4 linked regions of the Caenorhabditis elegans genome follow. The protein of the gene in region 2 purifies or fractionates together with the protein of the main gene of each other region. This does not show direct contact. Each region holds a gene or a part of one and is shown on either strand. Other genes may lie near its edges. The genes, in order: lect-2, dma-1, mnr-1 and tiam-1.

Region 1 (6,118 bases), on a different chromosome or scaffold from region 2:
GATTTCCCATGGAAACTCTCCACTTTTATCGAATTTTGCAGCATTTGGCACAAGAACGTCCTTCGAAAATTTTATAGCATGGGACTGAATTTCCTTTTGAGTGTCGGACAGTTCTGAAATTAAACAATTGATTTATTTATTTGATACATTTTTGGAACGTCGTATTATTTAGCTTAGACTATGAAAATATTCCTTCAAGTCAAGTCAAAGTCAGTCAATTGTCAACTGGCATATAACATACTCAAAAACATTGACAAAGCAAGTAAAAATCTTTACAACTGCATTTGGGTAAACATTTCTTTAAACTAACCAAATGACATTTGTCGGCTTTGAACGGCAATCCGATTCCAGGTGGTTCCAGATGAAAGACGAGTGAGCATGTCCACACAATGATTATTGCACTTTTGACAGCAACAACTTTGATGAATAAAATCAAAGACAATCGATTGATTTTCATCCAAGGGTCATTCAACGTGGATGAGTAGGGACAATTTATATTTTTAAAATTGTTTTTCAAGTTTTACGTAAAGAATTTTTGTTTTAAAATTTTTAACAAATTTATTTAAACTAATTGCAAGTAATGACGATCAAAGAAATAACAGAACAAGAGAATTCAGAAAGCAATTGTGAGACATTTTCAGAGATTAGTAAGGAACTGTTTAGAATACTGGAAAGTTCGGAGTTTTACAGTTGGCAGCGGTTATGATATCAGTAATATTGACTACTCGGCCTTCGAAGCGAATCTGAAAAATTAAAGATGAAAACGGAAACTCCATGTGAATATTTCTGAAGGATATACTCCTTGAAGACAAAAAACTTCACTGGTTTCAAGAGACATGAGCTTTTAGCTTACTTATCATTTGCCATCAAAAGCAAAAAACCTTTGACAAATAGAAATTAGAACCTGATTTTTAAAATTTTCTTGAAGATCAGAAAAAAGTGCAATCGCATATTCTGATCTTTAAAAAAAACTGTTACCTCTACAAACACACTGTCCGGACTATTTTCACATGCCAGCCGAGTTGCAATCGGCTCTCCTTGAATAATTCGTTTTCTTCCAAATCCGATGTCTGCTCGAGCCTTCACATTGTACAGCCTTGCCTCAAATCCGAGCCAATCATCAATTCCAACAATGAAAATTCCATCATTATCACATCCGGTGTAAGCTCCATTTGAGTCAGTGAAAAGACGAATTCTTCCAACGATTTCTCCAGCAATTGGTGAATAGATCATTGGTGCACGTGGTGAATCTTCATCATCATCATCAATCATTTGACATTCAACATCCCAACCACGAACTCCGTTGTAACGTCTGAAATTAATTGTTCAATGCATAGCTGTTTCTGTTAAAAACGCCCCTATTAGTATTGCAAGTTGTTTTGCGGTACCCAATTATTAGAGTATATAGTACGTATATGTATTGTTATTTTCTGGTACTTTGTCACTGGTTTATTTGGCTTGAAAACATAAATTTGCTACACAAGTTGGTAAAAAATTTGGCAAAAATTGAGAGAGAATTTGAAAAAAAAAATTGGTTTTGGCAGCGGGAAAAATTTAGCCCATGCAATTCTTCCATAATATATTAAAATCTAAAACAAGTGCTTACTTGTCAGTTTTAAAAGGGTCACCAAGGAGCACATTTCTAGTGTTTGATTCACAGATCTGACCAGTACACATGCCTGAAAATATGTTAGTAATTCTAAATAACCTGATCTTGACAAAAATTACAATTTTGAAGATGATGAGTCGGATCGATAAGTCTTCCTTCTTTGTACAACCGAATCTCAACATGAGGCTCGACATCATTTTGTCCTCTGTCATTGAAACAATATCGATTCAAAGCTTCTCCAATCTCATCTCCAGCTTCAACATGCCCTCCGAAAAAGGACAATTTAACAGAAGATATGTGCACTGCGTAGCCTTAAATTTAAAAAAATCAATAGTTTTATATTTGAAGTTCCAAAACGTACCCTGCCACTGCCCGGTTCCCTCAATTCTCACTCCTTGGTCGGCGCATGATTTCTCACGTTTACCTCCATATGGTCTCCAAAAGTACATTTCTCCTTCAATTGGAGCATAAATTGGCTCTCCGAGATGACATCGAACATCCACTCCATCGATTATTTCTCCTGATGTTCTGAAAAAATAAGTTGTCACTATTATAACATACATTTAGCAAAACTCTAGAAATAAATAAAAAATTGTATAATTTCAAAACTAGACATTTTAATATTAAAACCAGTGTTGTCTCGTTTCAAAAGCCATGTGTCATATCATCCGTTGTTTTTTTTTGAAAAGTGAGTTAGAATGTGTGTGATATCATCACTTTATCTCTGTTTCTTCTCATTTTCTCTTTTCCGCGGCTCAAAAGATCTGTGAGCTCACTTTTCGTGTTTTTCTTCAAAAGAATGAAACGACCGACTGCTACTGTTTCCAAGTTGGAAATTTCTGAATTTCGATTGTTGATCTATATTTTGTATGGAAATTTCGATAAAGCGTTTCAAGGTTTGTTTCGGTTATAACAAAATTGAATTCTTGAAATTCATAAAATTCCAGCATTGAGTTTTTAAAATAAAACAAAATTTGAGTGAAGTACAATATTAGTTTTGCATCTTGTCTGGATTGGGTATCTGGTTTTTTTAAAATTCATAACAATGATAAACTGGTTAGAATAAGTTGATCTATTTTCAAGATTTTTGTTTCTCAAAACTTTTTAAAATCACAACTGGAAGTAGAAAATTAATTGGAAAAATACGGAAATTAAGTTTTTCAGTAAATTTAAATTTTTAGAATCTCCTTTTTCATTTAAAGTTACTCTGGATCTTCTAGAAATCTATTATTTTTTATATGAGAAGTAAATATGTATTATAGCGGTCATTTAGTGTTGGAGTACTGGTATTCAATTTATAATATTCAAAAATGCTCTCAAAAATATTTTGTATTGCAATTTCAGTTTTAAATCTCATTTGAAAACTGCTACACCAATTTTCAAAAATCAAGGAAAAATGAAAGAAAAATTAAATTTCCAGATACACCACTGCTTCAAAGATGTGCAGTTATCGATCGATTGTTAATTTATCTTTTTCAACATTCTGTATTAATTTCAATATTTCAACTTTTCATTCACTATACTTTATTTCAAAATTCTGATTTTCTAGCCAATGTTCCTGACGACAAATGGCCATTCTTAGCAGTGTTAGCCCTTTTTCTTGAAATTTATTCAATTCGATGTTTAAATTTGAAATTATTTACTCAAACGTTAGTTTTCAGTTTGTTATCTCCTCTATTTCATTTATTTTTTGCTGGTTTTTACAATGATCTCGTAAACGGAGCAACTATAACTATTAAATTAGGAGCCCTTACAGTTTTAGGTATTATTTTATTTTTACTTGCAACATTTCTTCGATGTATTGTTATTTCAAGTGAATCTCAGCTTGTAAGGAGTCGTGAAAGATGTACAAAAGAAATTGATCACGCTATTTTCTATGTCTGAATTCATTACTATTGAAAAATAACTTCTTATGTTTTCACTTATATACAAAGTTTCTTTACAAAAAAATTAGTATAAAAAAGTTTCTCACCTCTCTGTATGATAATTACCGCAGGATCCATCAGTGTCCGGGCAGCGACGAAAATCGTTTTTTGCATTGTTTCCACAAACTTTTTTCATACATCCCAATGTCTGACCTGTAAATTAAAAATAATTAAAAGTTGATCAACTTCTTGTGCTGAAAATTTAGTGTTTGGTGCAATTAAATAAAGCCTTCAAGGCAACTTACGACTATCTTGAACCTACACGCTTGCCTGTTGCAAAGTGCAAGTGAACTTTCAGAATGTGAAAATTGGAGTAGCACCAGCGGCAAGTATTTAATATCTTATACGTCTTTAAAATAACTAATTTTTTTTTGAAGTCGACCAAAAATATACTGTTTTGATTATTTTATTCAAACACTACATGGATTCAAATCTGCGAGTATTCGCTCAATTTCTCAAAATTCCCCAATAGGTTATGAAGTTGGAAATTTGCCAACACTTGACTTACTATTAAAATTTTGAAAAATCTTAAAAAATAACTTTGAAACATTGTTTGCTTAAAACTTGTTTTAAAAAAACTCCGCTGCAATGATCAAAATATGTTTAACTCACCTCCTATGAATATCCCAATAAGTATTAGAAAATGCAAGGTTCTCAGATGCATTTGACTGCAAAAAAAGCCACTTAGGAGACTTTAAAAAGAAAAAAAAACACAACAAAAAAGAGAAGAAGGTGGAGAGAGAAAGTAATAAATAAAACGGAAAGCTCAGTTTGATGATTGCAGGCAAAAAAAGAAGAAATGTTCTTCCTTACTTTTCATCAACCCAAATCATCGAATGGCATGTCAAAAGAACGTCCTGAAGACACAGAGCACAGACAACTGACTCTTGTTTCATCTGCGTCTCTATCTTATCTGCGCTTGATCTCAGATCGATGTTAGTTATTGTGTTGTTGTTCAGGGTGTACTCACCAATAAATGCAATAATGGGGGGCACACTGGGTGAATGTGAGAAAGAGTGCTCACAGAGCAGCAAGTCGTATAGTTTTATGGGACTATAGAGGTATTACGTCTACTCAATAGGTCAACTTGATTTTTTCTGAAGAGTCACATACAGGAGATAATTATGATCTAAAAAACCTTAATTTATATAAAAACCCTCCAAAATATGTCCAATTTTAACAACAACTATTAATTTCGCAACAAATATCAAATACTTCGGCTGAAATATATTTTTTAACTTTATGTAAAAAAGTAAAAAAAAAATTAAGATCCTATTCTTCTTTCACACTCCCTCCTCCAAAATGTTCTTCCATCGTAAACCTAATAGGTTCTCGAAGCACGAAAAAATCCCTCGGAGTGGTTTTTTTCGGTTTCAATTTTCCATTTTCTATGCAGATATTTTTTTGCAGCTTCTGAGTCCGATGTGTATGATTTGCCAATTTTGTGTTATTCGAGAAACCCTGAACATATACAGTTCTTCGTCGATTACTTTGTATTCCAAACTACCTGATCACAAATTTTGCAATGAAAGTGTGCTTTCTTTTTGAGCTTGCAGAACGGACGAGAACAGGACTGAAATTTTAAAAATGAAATAGTTGTTGTAAACCTGAAAACTACATCAAGCCGTTTGGGAAGGGAAGTGATTGGACAACAATGGAGACCAACAATTTCAAATCCCTGTAAACTATGAATTATTGATCAGTGTCACAGAAGCTTTCCAGACTTCAAAAATTATTCTGAAAGAGAATAGTCATACCGTTTGACATTTGGCACAGTGCCAATGAGAACTGTTTCGGTTAAACTGACACCTGTCAGATCCACATGAGACGTCGATATGATAGAATATTCGGTCGTCAGGAATTTCAGAGTTTTTTAAATGGAACACGGAAAGATGATTTGATATCAAAAGAGCATCATTTGATGCAAAGTTACACCTGCAATAAAATATTATTTATTAAATGATTACCGTCTTCTGAAGAGCTACGCCCTGGATTTTACAAGATTTTTGTGCATTATTTTTCTATTCCTAATGGCAATCTCTTAAAAATAGGGCTTGTCCCCTCCACCGCCCAAACCTAAGCCTAAGCCGAAGCCTAAGCATAAGCTTAATCCTAAAAATTTTAACAATTTTTGGAACTGTACCGTTTGTGTCCGCAGTGTAGATGAGCTATTCCATGATATTTGCACAGATCATCATCGCAATCAAATTTAAAATAGTTTATTGACATCAGTATGAAAAAAAAAGGAAATTTCTCAGAATCCTAAAATTTAAGAAAAATGACAAAGCTGTGAAAAATGAATGTTGAAAATAGAAGAGGTTGTCAAGGATTGGTTTTCGTGGTCGTCATGTCTACGAGTTCACCAAGACGACTGTTTGGGCAAAAAAATACGGAAGAGTGAAAAACTAGAAAATAGGAAGGGAATAGTTATGAATTGTAGATGATGGATTGGTTGCCATAGATACACCTTCGTTGTTTATTGTGTAACATCATGTTTATTTAATTATTTTCAGACCAACGAGTACGTTTTTGAAGTAATAATGAGAGTTTTCTAGAGCAGGATACAATTTATTAGATATTCAAG
Region 2 (4,854 bases):
AGAAGCTGAAAAGGCCCAAACTTGGGGAAGAAGCTGCCGGGAATTGCCGAGTATATATGTATATTCCTATTTTCCCGGCGGGAGTTCCACTCCCAATACGCTCGTAAAATATTTTCATCGTAGAATAGAAAACTTGTCGAAAATGAGTGTCAGTTCCATGGACACGTCCTCCAGAGAGTTCGTGCATACAAAATGATACATCAAACATTTGAAGGGCACCGCAACACAATGCGCAAATCCTCACACACATACGCCAACACTTTCTTCAGGTGTGATAAATGAAAAGAGTGCGAGAGCTTGTGTGACATGTCAATCGGTGTGTGGATAAATTACCCCAAACACACACTTCCGATAGTGACAGCCGTGGTGTTCGTCACTCCACACGAGGATAACCGAACGCGGGTGCTCACCGAGATTCACACCATCTTAATTGGTCTGTCTGTGATGAGCGGGCTTGGAAGAGCGAAAGACAACGAATGCGGTGGAATTGGGTTAAAGTTTGCCGACAACCCGGAAAAGATTCAATCTCAAACGGAAATTGAACATTTTGATTAATGAGTTTATAAGCGAAAATGTGTTGGAAGGAGCAATTTGACACTTTCTTTGGGTTTTGGATGCTGACGGGAATATCTTGCAATGAGATTGATTGGGTGTTGACATACAGTTTGAGAGGTCTCTTGCATTAGTCATTGGTCTTTATGATTTACCGAATCGTCGGATAAGAATCAGTATGCGAAATTAAGCATAATTTTATAAGAACGTTTTTCATGAAAATACTTCGTAAAGCTTTTATGACACGGTATGGATATTTACTGTAAAGTACCGTATTCCTCTAATTGAATTTACAGTATTCCCCTCGGTTGACCGGATAAAAAACAGCTCATTATTTGTCCACAGGATCCTTTATTCGATGCCAAGTGTATTCTGTGGTACTCGATATGACGGATGAATTACCACCAAATTTGAACCATATGTCGTCGACAATTCCGATGCTTGTCTTCTCCCACCACTTGTCGTCGTCATCTTCTGCTCAATTATCTTCGCACCATAGTCAATATGAACACTATCCAGAGAAAAGAGTCACCATCACCTTTTATTACCACACACACACACACGGGTACACCAATAAAAGGGCAAGTCGTAAACGAAAAGCGCCTGCCTGCTGACATTTGGTGATGCCCACCCTTTCACATCTGGCATCCTTGACCACTATTACAGGAAGACGTTTGTTTTTTTTCAATGCCCGTTTGAATCACTTTAGAGCATTCTCTATAATTTGGAGCTTTCGTAAAATCACTTTGAAGGGAAAATTGAAGAAATCTAGGGAACAGCCGGGTGCAATCGAGAACGGGGGCGAGTGGAGCTGCACAATTTAACAGAACCTCATGAATATATGATAAGTTCGTGAATGCAATCTCCATCAGAAACCTTAGCATGACGTTGAGATTTTAGGAGCAAAGTTTTGCTTGAGCTCAGATGATAATGATATTACATAGATCTTCACATAGATAAGCTCAACTTCGTCCTTGGAGATGGTTCTGAAATTTTTTAGAACTATTATATTCAGTCAAACACCCTCTTGCTTCCAAGAAAACTCAAGCATCCACCACCCGACGCCAAAAACGCCTGAAGCGGGAATAGATTTTCTTTTAGTGGTGTGATAATTGCCACCCTCTGGTACATGAAAACAACATTAGGTGGTGCTGTCAGGCACACATTGCTTCTTCCTCTTCTATCCGGTCATCCTTCTTCTTCTTCTTCCCATGGGTGGTGTCTCTGTTGACCCTCCTTCGCCTTAAGCCCCGCCCCTTTATCCGCCCGTCCCCTTCGCCTTCTCATGGTGTTTTGCCTCACGTTTGCTGCTTCTAGCTGCTGTGTTGTTTGTCTTCTGGAGAAGTCAAGGATTCTTTGTTCCGAATTGGAACAATGATTTCATACATTTTGCTTTTATTTTTAAGTTTTTTGGTATTATGCTCTATTGCACTACCATCATCATGTCCGAATCTTTGTGAATGCGATCAAAATGACTCGTCTTGGAGTGTTTATTGTCGAAAGGCAATCATAAACGATACGATTTACGCGGAAATTCTAAACCAACTTCCGTTGACTCTTCGATCACTTCATATTCAGGTTAGTAAACGATAAGATCTAAAACCACAACGTCCGTCCGTCAATCTAATCCCTTCATTTACATAAATTGTTTTAGCCGCCCTCAAATCGCATTGGTTCTAACAAACTTCGATGGAATGACAACATAAACCGTTTTGCACAGCTTCGAGTTCTTCGTCTCATCAATTGTCAGATTCCAGCAATGTCCCGATCCATTCGACTGCCATCTTTGGAAGTATTAGATCTACACTCAAACAATATTGAGCATGCGACAATGAGCAACTTTGGTGGTATGCCAAAACTTCGAGTATTGGATTTATCATCGAATCATTTGAATATTCTTCCAACTGGAGTATTCACATATCTTAGAGCCCTGCGATCATTGTCTCTATCCAATAATACTATCAGTGATCTTTCTACAAATTTACTTCGAGGTCTCAATTCTCTTCGAGTTCTACGACTAGACCGGAATCCTATTCCAATTGAACACATCAATGAGTTATTCACAGATGTTTCCCAATTGGATGAATTATATTTGAATCATTGCAATCTTTCATCAATTTATTCTCTGGCTCTTGATCGTATTCCTCAACTCCGTCAACTTGGAATCGGAGGAAATAATCTCAAAATGGTTCCAACTAAAGAACTGAGATCTCTTCCTCAACTTTCTGTTCTCGACTTGTCTCACAATTCCATTCAAGAAATCACAGCCTGTGCATTTTGCAATACGAATATCTCAAAATTGGATCTTTCCCACAATTTGCTCGGAATTTCGAAAGACTCTCCGTTTAACGAGGATGCGTTCCGAACGATGCCATTACGTCATCTGGATTTGTCATTCAATCATATGAATGATTTTGACTCAAAATGGTTGGGATGGGCACAAGAAGAGCTGACTTCGATTGCATTGTCAGGAAATTTCTTGAAAAGTGAGTTTTTGTAGCAAAAGTTAAAATAACCCCAAAACTAGATTTTTAAAACTTTTTAGATTGTTTTTAATTTAAAAGTTTTTCCGATTTTTAAATTTGAAGAACGGTTTTTCAAAGTTACTAGAGATGGCATAATTAATTTGTAATTTTAGATTTCGAGGAGTCATGGACCTATACATTGAAGTCGTTGATTCATCTCGAACTGGCCTACAACCACATCAAATTCATCCCGGTACAGCTGCCGTCTCGCTATTACCACCTGATTTCATTGAACATTTCCGGAAATGAATTGACTTATTTGCCTGACAATATCAACACTTTGCTTCCAAATGTGAAAGTATGTCCATTTTCTATACGAAATTCGAAGCGTTTGTGGACCCCCTTATATGGGGACACGCATGTCATTTGAAACCTGCTCACTGAGATTTCTTTAGACTTTCGACATCACAGCCAACCGATTCCACACCTTCTCGCATACAGATTTGGCATTCCTAAATAATGTTGAACAAGTGTACGTAGATGGAAATCCTTGGGATTGTTCATGTGCTATTCAAGGACTTCAAGTGAGTCTTTTCCTCTCTTATTTCTGAATTAATTCGAACATCTTTTCAGGTTCATATGCGAGATCGTTATGCGATGAGACACATTCTCAACTACGATAATGTCCGATGCGCGACACCATCGCTTGTGGAAGGTCATTCAGTTCTGGCAATTACCGACGTAAGATTCACATTCACGTTATTAATTTCACTATTTAAAAACTTCAGGTAAACGACTGTGCCGTTTTGTTTGGTGCACGGTATGGATTAACGCAAACAAGTGAAATGCTCATACTTCTCGCAGGAGTTCTCCTTTTTGCCGCACTACTTCTTATGATTCTTGGATGCATCTATTTCCTTCGTGAGCGACAGTACAAAGGATCATATGTGACACGAGAACACTCTCGAACTCCACTCACGATGGCAAACACACATAGTTGCTCTTCGAGTACAAATGATACACATGGTCCATTATCACCACCATTTGATCCATTCTTGGTTAGTACTGAAACATTTAAAGCCACTCCTCCATTGATTCCACCAGCACCTCCAAAACCTGGATCATCCTATTTTGGCATTTAAATATCCTTTTGAGAGTTTCAAATGTTTCAAAAATCTAAATCCGTGTGATTATTTGCATCCATCTAGTCGTTCGATCTCCCAGCCCCATTTTCATGTATTTTTGCCCCCTTTTTCGATACGGTGTTCAATTGTTTAACCCTTTGTCTGTAAATAAAATAAACTGCTCGTAGATATACCAAGTTCAATGAAATAGACAGGAGCCTTAATCAGCAGCATAATAGTAGTTTTCAAGAGGTAAGACACCTCTTCTCGGCCGTAAATCCGTCGGCAAAGAAGTAATAAATCGGCGAGGCTGTTGTCTTTACGCCCTGGTTCTCTGTGGGGGTCAACTCATTTGTCAAATGCACACCAAGACAAATGCATAATTGAGAAGGTTTCGAGAAGGAGAGTTGACTTTTTCGTTTAAAAAAACTCCGCGGGAAAATCTCCGTAGCCACAAAATTTTGACGTTTATGAATTGAAAATTGGTTGTTCGACAGGGACTCGTTAATTTATGAGTTTATGAGCCATTCGAATAATAAATTGATGTGCGTATGTATGTGCACACGCGCGCGAATTCGTGGATGTAGATTGCACAATCTGTTATGACACGTCGTCTCATCCGTTAGATTCCCAAGTGACACCCAAAACAATTGGAGTAAGCCAATGCCAATTAAGTTGGATAGATGACCACGAAGAACAAGACATAACTATGA
Region 3 (7,212 bases), on a different chromosome or scaffold from region 2:
GATAAGGGCGATGATTCGAAATTCGTCAATAATATTGATCACAAGTCAGATGACTCATGGTAGAAGGGTTCCGGTTATGAAATAGTCTACGACTAACAAAAACTACCGAATATGCAATTTTCTTCATGTTTTAAGTTATTCGCGGATACTTACTATTGATTTCCATAGAATTTTTACACCAGTAAAGTTTGTAGGCGACCAGCCTCGTATTTTCTTTCCTACGACCTGTACGTTTTTTTGAATTCTGGTGGGAATAATTTAAGCATTTTTAATTTTCTAACTTTACATTATGTGTTCAATTAAATAATCGTTGGGGCACGAAGCAGGCAGGTCGATATTCGAGCTCCGCCCAATCTATAGGCACTTTTGACATTTTCGTACTCGATTTTTAAAAAATATTTGTTTTTGTGTTCTCATGAATTTGGAAATTGATCGTCTTTTTTTTTAAATGTATAAAACTACGATTTCCCGCTGAAGACTTGATATTTCGAAGCGAAATCTGTCTTTGAACTTTTTTTCTCAGAAGTTATGCAACAATTGATTAATTAATCATTTATTCGCAAAAATCGGAACAATCACTGGGAATAGATAGAAAAAAATCTGACTAAATATCACAGAGTTTCAAATTTCCTTTATGAAATTCAAAAGTTTTGAAAACAAAAATGCAATTCTAGAAGAAAAATCGGCAATATGAAATAGCACCAAAAAGTCGAGGATTATTTGAAAGTGCAGAAAAAAAACCCGTCTTAAAGTCAAATTAAAGTAGGTAGATCATTAGGAGTATGGTTGAGACTACCGTAATCCATGGATTACGGTAGTTGTAGGCGTTTTTGTGTTGAAGCTCTTCGAGAAGGAAATCGACAGCTGAATCACCTTTTTTTGATACCACGACGTTTCGCAGGTGTCGGTTTCTGGAGAAATTGGGATTAAAATGAGTTTCAACTTTTTTCACTTTGAAACTTTCCTAATTAGTTATGTAAGTAATTTCAAACCAAGGAAAATAGAAGGGCTAAAGAAAATTTAAAAAAAAAATTAAATTTTAGTTCACATTCAATGTTTGATGAAAATTTCCAGAAACTCTGAAATTCTTGACTAAAAAAATTAATGGTTCCAGAAGTAGATTAGAATTAAGTTTCCAATTCTTTAATTTTCCAATAAAACTAACTTTTGAAACGGTGTATCCAGCTCAATGGACACGGTTCTTCGTTTTCGCAATTTTTGATTGCCACACTCTGCAGTCCAGGCGTCCAACTTGACTCTCCATCCCATATCGGTCACTGAAATTGATTTTTTAGTCGGAGAATTGAGAAATTTTGAATTCAAGCTATAACTAGAAAATATTATTTTATTTGAAAACTTTTTTGTGGCATTATTTGTTTCAGAAATTGAAATTTTAAAATTATTTTCACTTGTACTCACAATCAAATTTTAAAAATAAAAATTTATACGATCAGTATTAAAAAAATATATATATTTATTAAACATTCATTGTTTCGAATGTATACTATAAATTTTAAAACTAAATTCTGTAGAATAAAAGAGCTACAAAAACTACAAACCTTCAAATCCATAACAATCACTATCCGGTAGTTGCCCGACGGATTTTGTCTCGTAGTACGGTAGATTTTTGAGCTGTCCATTGGTGATTTTTATCTTCCCGTCAAAACCAATGAAAACCTGAAAATTATAATCATAATCAATTTTTCTTGCGAAATTTCTAAAGTTTTCAAAAAAGAAATTTTGAAATTTTTTCCGGCGATTTTTTGAGTTTTCCAAAAATTTCTATAATCCTTCAAAAATGTTTTCGAATTGTCAAATTCTACTTTTTATGCTAAAATTTTGATTTTCAACATTTCATTTAATTAAAATTCTGAAAATTTTACCTCAAGCGAATTCTTGATCTTTGGTGAATCAATGTCTTGCACCTTATCCATCAAGTATATAGAAACTCCACTATTCTCATCCAAATCCACATTTTCCATTCCCTTTTTCGGCAAAAAGTGCACTTTTCCACTGATTTTCTGTTCGGATGGGAAGTTTGGAGGAGGAATTTTCGATAAAAGCAGTGCAGTTGGCTCTCCAAGAAACGCCGGGCCCTTTTCCGACCGGACCACTGTAGAAAGTTGGGATCCGGAAGAAGAAAACTCAACTGCTTGCCAATCTTGCAGCGAGAATGTCGGCGGAGTCTGAAATCTTTTAGTTTTCAGTTCAGTTTCAGTTTGTGAGGTTTTACCGCAATTGGCTCATTGCTGTCAGTTTGCAGGAACTTCCTGTGCTTCGGGTCCAAATCGTAAAGAATTCGATTTTTTGTTGTTGAACGGCGTAACTCGACAATCGGCGTCCAATTGGTGACCTGGAATCAAAAAATGAGAAATTTCTGCCAAAACTACAAAAATTTCCGGCAATTGTCGAAACTGCCGGGTTTAGAAATATTCGGCAATCGGCAATTTCGGCAATTATGAAAATTTATATGAAAATTTGAAACAATTTCCATTGATCTGCAATTCCGGCAATTGCCGGTTTTGGAAATTTTTGGCAATCGGTAATTCCGGCAATTGCCGATTTTTGGAAATTTCGGCGATTAGCAATTTCGGCAATTGCCGAAAATTACAATTACCGGCTATCGGGAAATGCGGCAATTTCCGAAATTGCCGGTTTTCAAAGTTCCCGGCAATTTCGGCAATTGTCGGTTTTGGGAATTTTCTGCTGAAATTGCCGAAAATTCATTTGCCAAAATTGCCGCGCACCCCTGCTACAAACACAATACATCAACGTTTGTAGTTTTGGAGAAAATTTTTTTTTTTTTTCAATTGAAATTTGTAGTTTTTATTTTTTACGCACAAAAAAACTTACATGATCTTCGGCATCACTCCACAAAAGCAGCGAAATCGACTGATCCATGCCCAAAAGCCACAGCAATTGCTCTTTGGAATGCGCAGCTACTGATAGCCGAACGGATAACATCACCGGCTGGTCCAGTCGACTGATATACTCCAAAATGTGAAACAGTTGTCTCCAAGACAATTTTTTGAATTTTGGATGCAAATGGCTGAAATTCGACTGCTTCGTCCATCCCAGAGAGAGCGTGGCGTCTGGGAAAAGATCCTTGGCTTTTTCAACAAAGGTCGATGGGTCCACTTCGGTCTGAAATTTTTGAATTGTAAAATTTTTTTTCAAGATTGTGTTTACTACCTCAACACTTCTCGGAGATCTAAACACATTTGCGTGTAAAATCACTGGGTATTGTAGTACTGGAGATGTTGGATCCGCTTGACTCGCATAGAGATCTTGAAGCACCGGACGAACTACTTCATTCGATCGGAAATTGATTTTGATGGCTGAAAATTGTTGATTTAGAATCCCTATCCGTACTCCCAGAGCGTTATGCACCTGTCTCACGCTAGAGACCTGACAGGTCCTCATCATAAATCACTTCTCCCGAGCAACACAACATATAACAAAGGTGCTCAGCCCTTCTCCTGAGAGGTGTGTAAAGTTTTGGCCCATCTGACAGCTAGAAACACATAAAACGTGTCGATAATCTATGCACCCCCACTCAAAACTTTTGGACCTCCACCCCTTTGAAAATATGTTGCCATCACCAACCGGTTGTCATTGAGACATTTTCCTCCTAGACAAGAACATGATAGATTACTGTAGGTCGGTAGGGCGTGGTTAAGGGTCATACGTATAGTAATGTGTATCAACTAACTGATTACGAATGGGGCAATTGGTGGAGGAATGTGCGGAAGAGCGGACGGAAATTGGACAATTTGAACTAATTGCAGATAATCAAAGCAGACGATTTTCGATCATTTTTAGAGAGTAAAATAAAAAAGCCTATAATAAATGGAAAATACTTGAAAACGGAAGCAAGACTGTGAAAAATTAAGTAGGGGGAGGAGGATCTTTATTTTTTTTGAAATAAAATTTTAAAACTATTTACCCTTGTTCATGGTGGCCACTTCTCTGAGCCATTCCTTAAATGTGATTCGATCGGCCAATTTAGTGTCGGCCTTCATCACTGGAACGGCTCGATGACGTGGACGACGATGAGCTTGCATGAATACGTCACCTTCGATCATCATGGATTTATTGAGGAAGGGTTCTGTAGAAGGCATGAATTATATTTAATTTTCATCTAATTGTTATAACATATTACTGTTCGAGTAATCCTTCATCCCAAAAACACTTACCGCCAGACGGGTCTCTGCTCATTACCCACCCGGGCCCTCTTGAAAACCATACCTAATTTCCGACCCTTCTCGCCCCCCCCCCCTCCCGACAAAGAGATTACGCAATGTCCCCCACCTTACCGTGTAGTTGATCCACCAGATCAGGCCAGCTGTTTACTCCATGAGCCACACGAACGTTCAGGCCGTCACCTTTCGTCTCGTTTTTCCAAAAATCCACCACAGACATCCGAGTGGCGCGCATCTCACGGCCATAGTCTGAAAATTGGAGCAGTTTGGGAGGTATAACCAAGAGAAAGAAACATTTTTTGAAACTTCAAATTTACTTGTGGGGTACCTGGTAGGCAGAGCTGTGCGGAAATCGGCGCTTTTTCAGTTTTTTCCGGAAGACTTTAGGCTCTGAAGTTTTGGAGAACGCCGCACAGCTCTCTACAATTGAACCCATTCATTTATCATTTTCCTAGAACTAGAGCTCATTAAATTTTTCCGCCAACTCAATAACGAGCTCAAGAAAATCTCGAATTTCACTTAATCTCCCTCCACCCGGAGCCATATCCTTTTTGACAGACTCCTCCCGAGCACTAAATGAGCTCTCATCATCCCTCATCATGACCCCTCTTTGTGTGGGAACGGCATAGATGGAGGGGGTAAACCAAGTGAATGAAACAATTAGATCCTTTTTGTTTGCATTTCCACAAATCTCATGAAAGGCTCGATGAAAACTTTGTCGGGTAAATCCAATTGGCACCCGGTTGGATGAGTAATAGGATGATACGCGCACAAATCTATTAGCCGAGATTCGAACTGTGGTCCTTTGCGTCTCACGTTGTCTCCTACTCAATTGAGCCACGCGCGCACCAGTTTGATTTGCTGAAAACACACAAGTGGCTCAGCTGGTTACAGACTAGCTTGAGACGCAAAGCACCAGGGGTCAAGTCCCGGCTGCCCACATTATTTTTTGTTTTGCTCCTATTGCCTTCTCCAACTCCTTCAAAGGAATTATATCCAGAGGTATGCGTTCTTAATGGCGTCTAATTAGTACAAACGGACCATAAGGCCCCCATATGGTCCATAACTATATAGTTTTATGAGATGAGGATGCACCAAATTTTGGCGTTGCGCGGGAGATAAGTCTCAAGTGGAAAAACCACCGAAAATCGAGTTGTAAGACATGGGGGGGGGGGGTCCCAAAAAGATTAGTCCCAAGGGGTGAGATTGAATATAAAAATGTTGCATATATGTTGTGAATTGGTATAAAAATGAGTAATAGGGAAATTTCAAGAGATTTTTAAGAAAAAAAGCGCCGAAGTTTAAATTGGAATAGTTAAAAATAACAACTAACCTCTACAATACGCCGTCGAAACGGCAAAAACCAATAGTATTGATATCATCATAACTGGAGCATTTTTGGGCTTAAAAGCTGCCACGTGGTAGATTCTGAAAATATTAAAATTTTGAACCAAAAAAAAACAAGAAAAAAAAAACTCAAAAAAGCAAGAGCGACCTTAAAAAACATAAATCTAGATAAAAAATGAGAAGAATTTCAAAATTTTCAAAAATTTTTAATGGAATTTTTCGGCCAACATTTCAACACTGCGGCCCGTTAAAAGAAAAATGATAAACGGAGGTTTTATGCAAATCCAAAAAGGGCACACTTTTACGTTTTTTTTTGGCATTTTTCTATCTTTTTTTGGAAAAGGGAGAGAATGGGGAGGAAAAAGCAATAAAAATCAGATTGAAGTTAACGGAAAATTTGTGAAATTAATGAAAAAAAAGATCGGCTGAAATATGAGGAAAATCTTAGAATTTAGAAATTAAACAATTTTTACTAAAAAATTACTAAAAAAACGAAAAATGTTGAAAAATCATAGAAAAAAATTCGGAAAACTTGAAAGTCTAAAAACTGATTTTTTATAATTAAAAATTGAATAAATTGAACAAATTCAATATGCAGGGTTTTTTTGGCTTTCACAAAACTGCGGTAGTTTCAGAAAAATGAAAATTTAAAAAATTCCAGCGAAAAAAGTCAAATATCCACTTCCAAAAAACAATTTCAACCGGATTGCAAATACTATTCTAGAGGCTTAGTGTTAGTAATATAGTAATTATTGAAGATTTGCATACATAAAAAGGAAGTGTGGGTGTTCTACCACCAAACCGCCGACACCGACAGGAAGCTGCTGGAGGGGAAGGGGGATGGAGACCACCATCATCCCTATAACCCCAGTCAATTAGGCCACGCCCACTAAAAAATTTTTGGAAGAGAATAGGAGGCTGGGGAGTGGGAAGTGAGCATAAAGTCAGATTAATTTCAGAAAAAAAATTATTTGGCTATCATACTAAAACAGAAACCAACAACACGTTTTGCTTGTTTCGTTAATTTGTAGAAATAATTTATAAAACTATTATCAAAATATAAAAACTGTCACATGAAATTTGACTGCAGCGACGCGCGCGAAATTTTCGCTCTCGATTCCGCATTCCGAAAAAACAGCTCGGACCACGGCCCCGCGGGTGATGACAGAAACGGGAGAAGAGAAAATGTGAAGACACAGTGCAAAAACTGCTGTTTCTAGCGTTTTTTCTTCTCCCGTTTCTGTCATCACCCGCGGGGCCGTGGTCTCAGCTGTTTTTACGGCATTTGGAATCGAGAGCGAAAATTTCGCGCGCGTCGCTGCAGTCAAATTTCATGTGACAGTTTTTATATTTTGATAGTACCGCACTTTTAGATGAATTCCTTGAAAACACTACTAAAAATTAACTCGAAAACATTTTTGGCTCCCTGCTTTATGAGTGCCTTCTCGCTTAGTAGGCAAGTTGTGCCTACCGCTGCCAGATCTTCTCGATTAGTCCAATTCCTTTTATTTCAGGAGCATGGAAAGTTTTTCAAAACATTTAGGGCATAGTACAGAAAGCGCTCAGAAAGTGTAGTTTTACTTTGAAATAAAATGTCAAAAAATTGTAAAATTTTTTATCACATAAAAAACTAGTTTCCAAAGTTGGAAAGTAAAAAATGGAA
Region 4 (4,930 bases), 3.9 Mb from region 2:
ATCAATAATTTCCAGCAATCCACACATTGGAAGAAATGCAACAAGTTGAAGACGAAGAAGCTCTGATGCATATAAAATGCTTCATCCTTTTATTGTGGTCATTTTCAGTTTACACTCTTATCACGTTAGTTTTTTATTTGAATTTCTACAGTTTTTCAGCAATTCCAAAATTTTTCCAGAGAAATGACAAAGATCATGCTGCTCAATGAGAAAATTCGAATTCTCGAATCAGTGAGACATCGTTCGAAAATGGAGTCAACTCTTTCACTTATTCGACAAAAATCATATTTCGACGCGTACGCCTCTGATTTTATTATTCGAAATCAGCAAAACGAGAAAATCAATACGGTTAAAGATGAAATGGATGCAGAAGAAATGGTACATCATTTGGTTCATGGAATGAATCCTCATAAAAATTCTTATTGAATAATTAATGTCGCTTTTCAGTTTTTATAGATTATTTAAGTTTTTTGTAATAAAGATTTGCGTTGATAAAGTTTAAATTTGAATAATTTAACTGAAAAACCTTTTTTCTATTATTTATAGCAGAAACTAAAATTTTGAATGTTTCAATGTAAAAGTTGGTTTTATTCTTCTCCACTGTCTTTTTTTCCGAAACAAAGTGTCTAGTTGACGAAAATTAATGACATCTCGGTCAGAATCTTGTCTATTTTTTGTCCCCCTCATCCAATCTACAATTTGTCAAATACCAATTCCCCTTCGCACACTCTTTTTGTTTATTCTAACCATAACTATAATATCTATCTTTTTTCAGAGTGTTAGAATAATAAACACGAACCAACTGTGTGAATGACAAGTAGTGATAGATATTTCTCAAAGAAAAAACAAACCTCAATGTAGATTCATCATTCGTCCAGCATTCGGCTTGTGAGCAAGAACATGAGAGGCGTGAGCCCATTCTGATTTGAACGCGGTTCTCTCTCACTGACAACAGAATGGAATTCCTGGAAAAAAAAAATTAGGATTGAATAATTCTGGCAAAAAAACTATGTTATTCTGTTAACAGCGAAGTTGGAAAAAGTTTTATATGTTGCAGAGAGAACAGAAAATATTCAAAAAATTTTGAAAATAGGCGAGAACAGGTATATCTACAAAAATGTGGATCAGGAATTTCAATTTTTCCATAACGAAAATTGTAATATATTTTTTATTGTTCTAATTAATTCTAAAAGCTTAAATCATTTTTTTTTGTTTAAAAATTTCAAAAATGTTCTAGAAAAAACAGCAGATTTTCGGGGATCCTAAAATGCGCCTGGAGAAAATCTTTGAGCCAGTGGAAACTTTTTCATAAATACAAATTTGTAAGCTTTTGAAAAGTTTCTGATAATCTTTTGGTAAATTGCCAAAGTTACTGAAAATTTGGTTTTTTACCGCATGTTTGAACGCCCAAAATTTTAAAAAATTAAAACATAACAGAAAAATTAAAAGCACTATGGTTTTTAGCTATTCCTACATTGGTACACTTTTAACAAAATGAAAAAATAAATTTCTTGATTATAATTTTAAAAACTAACAATCATCATAAGAAGATGAATGAAGAAAAAATTTAAAATTCAAAACTCATTTTGACCACACGAAATGGCTCGAAAAACAACAAACACTAAATTATGCTTCACACCAAAAATTTTGCGGATAGGCTTCTTCCCCACATCCCCCTTCTCTTCTTCACACCAAAAATGAAAAATGAGTGCCGAGCGGACTCTTGGTGCTCTTTTACTAAGAAGGAGCCCCCTCTTCTTAAAAGATGACACTTAATTTGTGACTAAAAGGAAACCCTGAATAGCACATCTGAAAATAGGATTTTTACGGGGGAAAGGGAGAAGTGGTGTTGAATGAAAACAATGGTTAAATACAATGAAAAGAATTGAAGGAGGAGAGGGGCTTTGACATAACTATTATGATTTGGATGGGGTGTGGCAGACAGAAGAAGGAAGAGAAGAAGTCATCTGTATGCAAATTATGTAAAAACGTGTCATCTTTTGAATTTAACTATTTTCAGATGATATAAGAACACACCTTGAATTATCAATAGGCGTTCTAATCCACTTGGATTATGAAATTAAGATTTATAGCTTCCAGGAACTATACACTTTTTTTCAAATTTTGAAATATAATAGAAATGTCAAAATCTCAAAAATTCTTATACCAGTTAAATTAATTTGAACAGCAGATTTCGCAAGGTGGCTTGAAAAAAGGAGAATCGACCAGTAAGGTTTCGCCTCCGAAAAATTTGGTTTTATGTAGACACATTTCTCATTCAAAATTTAAAAACATAGATTCTTAGGTGATCATTGTATACAGTTCCGAATGACCGCTGGCACAATTATAGTTGACTTCAATTTAAAATGAGGACTTTGTATAAATACACTCAACATGACCAAATTTCATAAATAAATACTTCAAAAAATTTTGCCAAGTTTTGGTAAATTGCCAACTAATAGAACAGTTTGAAATTTAAAAAAATTAGAACATTGCTGCAGGTTTGAGCTTTTGAAATTTTCAAAAATAAATTATTTAAAAACGTAATTAAAAACGTATTTAAAATACAAATCTCATAGAAATTTTTAATAAAAGTTCCTAGGAATCAGAAATTGCCATTATTTGGCTGCTATTTCAACAATTTTTTTAAGGAAAGTTTCACTACATGGTCGAGGCTTTTTTGTTTGATTTTCTACCACGAACTGTTCTGAAATTAGCTTTCAAAAATGACTGCAACAATTATATGAAACCGACTTTCGAAAAACTGCACGTGGTCTAGTTTTCTCTATTTTGGCTACGTAGAAGCTCAAAACCTTGGCACACCAAACTGTGAGAACTTATGTTTTCTATGCTAGAAATATTTTTTTAATGGTCATGTAGATACAAAGTGGTGAATAAAGTTTCAATAATTTATTAGTACAATTCTACGCTTCCAATTTCTCACCGTATTTTCGATTCCTGACAAACTGAAACTGAATCATCAGCGTCTTCTTTTTATTTTGCTTTTCTCTGATTGTTTCTTGTTTTTCTCTGTAAAAAATATAAATTTTTAGTTGTTTTTATTATTACTACATACAGAAAGGAAAATGACGCGGAAAATGCGAGCAGAAGAGTGAGAGAAATTTTATTGGAAGAATAATTACTATTTTAGATTAAAAAAAGAATTAGGGATTAAATGAGATAAATGTAAACTTCAGTGAATTTGTTCAAAAAATATTTTTTTTCAATCATGTACCGTTTTCAAATCTTTTAAAAATCTTTCAAGTTTCCTACAGGTTAGTGCAAACTGCTTTTTTAAAATAAAATTTCGATGAATTCAAAAAAAAATTTTGATGACTAAATTTATTGAATTTAAGTTTTTAAAAAAGTATATGAAGAACTCCAAATTTGAAGAAAAATTCTCGAATAAAAGCACTCAAAATGCCCGTGGGGAAAGATGTGTAAATAAGCAAACAAAACTCGAAAAATAAATTGAATTCCAAAATTTTCCAAGAATTTTGCTCATTTTCGAGCTCTCATTGGCACATACACTTGTCTTTCAATCAGCTTCAGCTCGAACCAAAAAAACTAGTGCTGCAAATGAGTAGAAAACAAAAAAACAGAGAGAGAAATGGAATTAGGGGTGTAAGAAGAAAAAAGTAAACGAGAAGTAGGGGGTGGAACAAAAATGCAAAAAAAAGAGAACATTTGTCCCCCGATGGGAATTGGAAAGAGCAAAACTGAATTTTCAGTTGAAGAATTTTAAAGTGAAGAAGGCGAAAAAAGTTAAATTGCAAATCGAATGGGTTCAATTTCTGTTGAGCCAGAGAGCCACATACTAACGCGTTTACGAGCTCGTTGAGCTGTGAACAAAAACATGTTAGTCTCTTTTATATACCTGTTCTGCAAGATGTGTTCAATGTAGGAGGTTGTAAAAAATCAATCGATTTTTGCTTCAGAGAAATCTAGGCCATTGGAAAACTTTTAGGAAAAGTTCCATTTGGAAAAATAGAAAATTTTTGGTTTTGAGACGAAAACAACTGTACAGCAGAAAAGCCAAAAATAATGAAAAAATATATTTTATTAAAAAATTGTAATGTGTGCGGCGAATTCGACAAGTCCACATTTTTGAAATTCGCCGAGCTCGGCAAACTGCAAATTTGGCAAATTTGCCGCACACCCCTGTTGTACAGTTAGTTTACAAGGTTTTTGTCCGGGATTTTGAGAATTGGCATTACAAAATGCTAACATCGCTAAAGAAATTAAATTTTAAACTCGCTCAAAAATTGTTGAAACTCCTTGGAATACGAATCTGCAGATTTTTAGGTTAAAAAGTAATAAACATATAGTAAAAACTTGACAATAGCAAAATTCGGGTATGAAAAATTTTTAGGCAACCACGTTTTGTGCAAAGATATGCTCTTCTAGGTGGTCCATGATTTTGTGAACTTTTTAAGCTAGAGAAAACTCGGCCATCTGAGCATGTAAAAATGGCCCGCCATGTCTCTTCAAATCTTCATAAAAATCAGGAAACATGCCGAACCAAAAAACATGAAGATTTATAAATCCTAAATACAATTCTCGAGACCACTCATTGAGGACAAAATTACGCCGACACCGCCCCGGGAGGTGGTCAAATGCCATTTGGATTGGCGGTTGTGTAATTGACATGATAATGGGGAGAAAAACGTAGAAACGAATATCCAGCGAGATTATTAGCAATGATGCAGAAAACGACGATGAAAAAAAAAAGAAAAGAGCGCGGCGCGGGAAGGGGCAAAAAGTTTTCGGGATGCAAAGATTCTTTTGGTGAGATATGGAACACAAGAATTTTGGATTTGACTGACTGCGAACTTGTAGAATATAACATTCCTGGAGATATATAGGAAGACAGGTAGGTCAAAAGTTTTCAAAGCTAACTCTGAAACTGAAGGCAGAAATTGTCAAACTC

The links.
Region 1: the proteins of dma-1 (region 2) and lect-2 purify together in Caenorhabditis elegans (affinity purification with western blotting; 2 studies listed by BioGRID). This does not show direct contact.
Region 3: the proteins of dma-1 (region 2) and mnr-1 purify together in Caenorhabditis elegans (affinity purification with western blotting; 3 studies listed by BioGRID). This does not show direct contact.
Region 4: the proteins of dma-1 (region 2) and tiam-1 purify together in Caenorhabditis elegans (affinity purification with western blotting; 2 studies listed by BioGRID, with this or other methods). This does not show direct contact.

Annotation. Positions count from the first base shown.
Region 1 is NC_003280.10:5,788,817-5,794,934, reverse strand, and holds lect-2 (Leukocyte cell-derived chemotaxin-2 homolog), read right to left. Parts: upstream 4,213-6,118; 5' UTR 4,199-4,212; coding exon 4,147-4,198; intron 3,688-4,146; coding exon 3,582-3,687; intron 3,578-3,581; exon of another isoform or gene 3,494-3,577; coding exon of another isoform or gene 3,030-3,493; intron 2,506-3,029; coding exon of another isoform or gene 2,409-2,505; exon of another isoform or gene 2,345-2,408; intron 2,138-2,344; coding exon 1,971-2,137; intron 1,921-1,970; coding exon 1,729-1,920; intron 1,680-1,728; coding exon 1,607-1,679; intron 1,313-1,606; coding exon 979-1,312; intron 744-978; coding exon 660-743; 3' UTR 533-659; downstream 1-532. Other genes in the region: acdh-8 (medium-chain acyl-CoA dehydrogenase), read right to left, coding at 1-113, 311-380; K05F1.14 (uncharacterized protein), read left to right, coding at 2,409-2,505, 3,030-3,493; K05F1.13 (C2H2-type domain-containing protein), read right to left, coding at 4,807-4,995, 5,042-5,107, 5,153-5,212, 5,292-5,469, 5,678-5,763. UniProt on the Caenorhabditis elegans protein: Muscle-derived dendritic guidance cue, which is required for the formation of somatosensory dendritic arbors which extend from PVD and FLP sensory neurons during development.
Region 2 is NC_003279.8:8,280,140-8,284,993, forward strand, and holds dma-1 (LRRCT domain-containing protein), read left to right. Parts: upstream 1-1,829; 5' UTR 1,830-1,926; coding exon 1,927-2,130; intron 2,131-2,206; coding exon 2,207-3,038; intron 3,039-3,190; coding exon 3,191-3,375; intron 3,376-3,472; coding exon 3,473-3,601; intron 3,602-3,650; coding exon 3,651-3,758; intron 3,759-3,805; coding exon 3,806-4,159; 3' UTR 4,160-4,338; downstream 4,339-4,854.
Region 3 is NC_003283.11:20,653,070-20,660,281, reverse strand, and holds mnr-1 (Menorin), read right to left. Parts: upstream 5,631-7,212; 5' UTR 5,588-5,630; coding exon 5,536-5,587; intron 4,452-5,535; coding exon 4,317-4,451; intron 4,109-4,316; coding exon 3,947-4,108; intron 3,339-3,946; coding exon 3,193-3,338; intron 3,145-3,192; coding exon 2,854-3,144; intron 2,354-2,853; coding exon 2,234-2,353; intron 2,187-2,233; coding exon 1,884-2,186; intron 1,678-1,883; coding exon 1,560-1,677; intron 1,278-1,559; coding exon 1,166-1,277; intron 912-1,165; coding exon 758-911; 3' UTR 538-757; downstream 1-537.
Region 4 is NC_003279.8:4,407,791-4,412,720, reverse strand, and holds the start of tiam-1 (DH domain-containing protein), read right to left. Parts: upstream 3,033-4,930; 5' UTR 2,945-3,032; intron 1,851-2,944; exon of another isoform or gene 1,661-1,850; intron 966-1,660; 5' UTR 920-965; coding exon 852-919; intron 706-851; exon of another isoform or gene 620-705; intron 497-619; exon of another isoform or gene 427-496; coding exon of another isoform or gene 180-426; intron 125-179; coding exon of another isoform or gene 16-124; intron 1-15. Other genes in the region: T21E12.5 (Guided entry of tail-anchored proteins factor 1), read left to right, coding at 16-124, 180-426.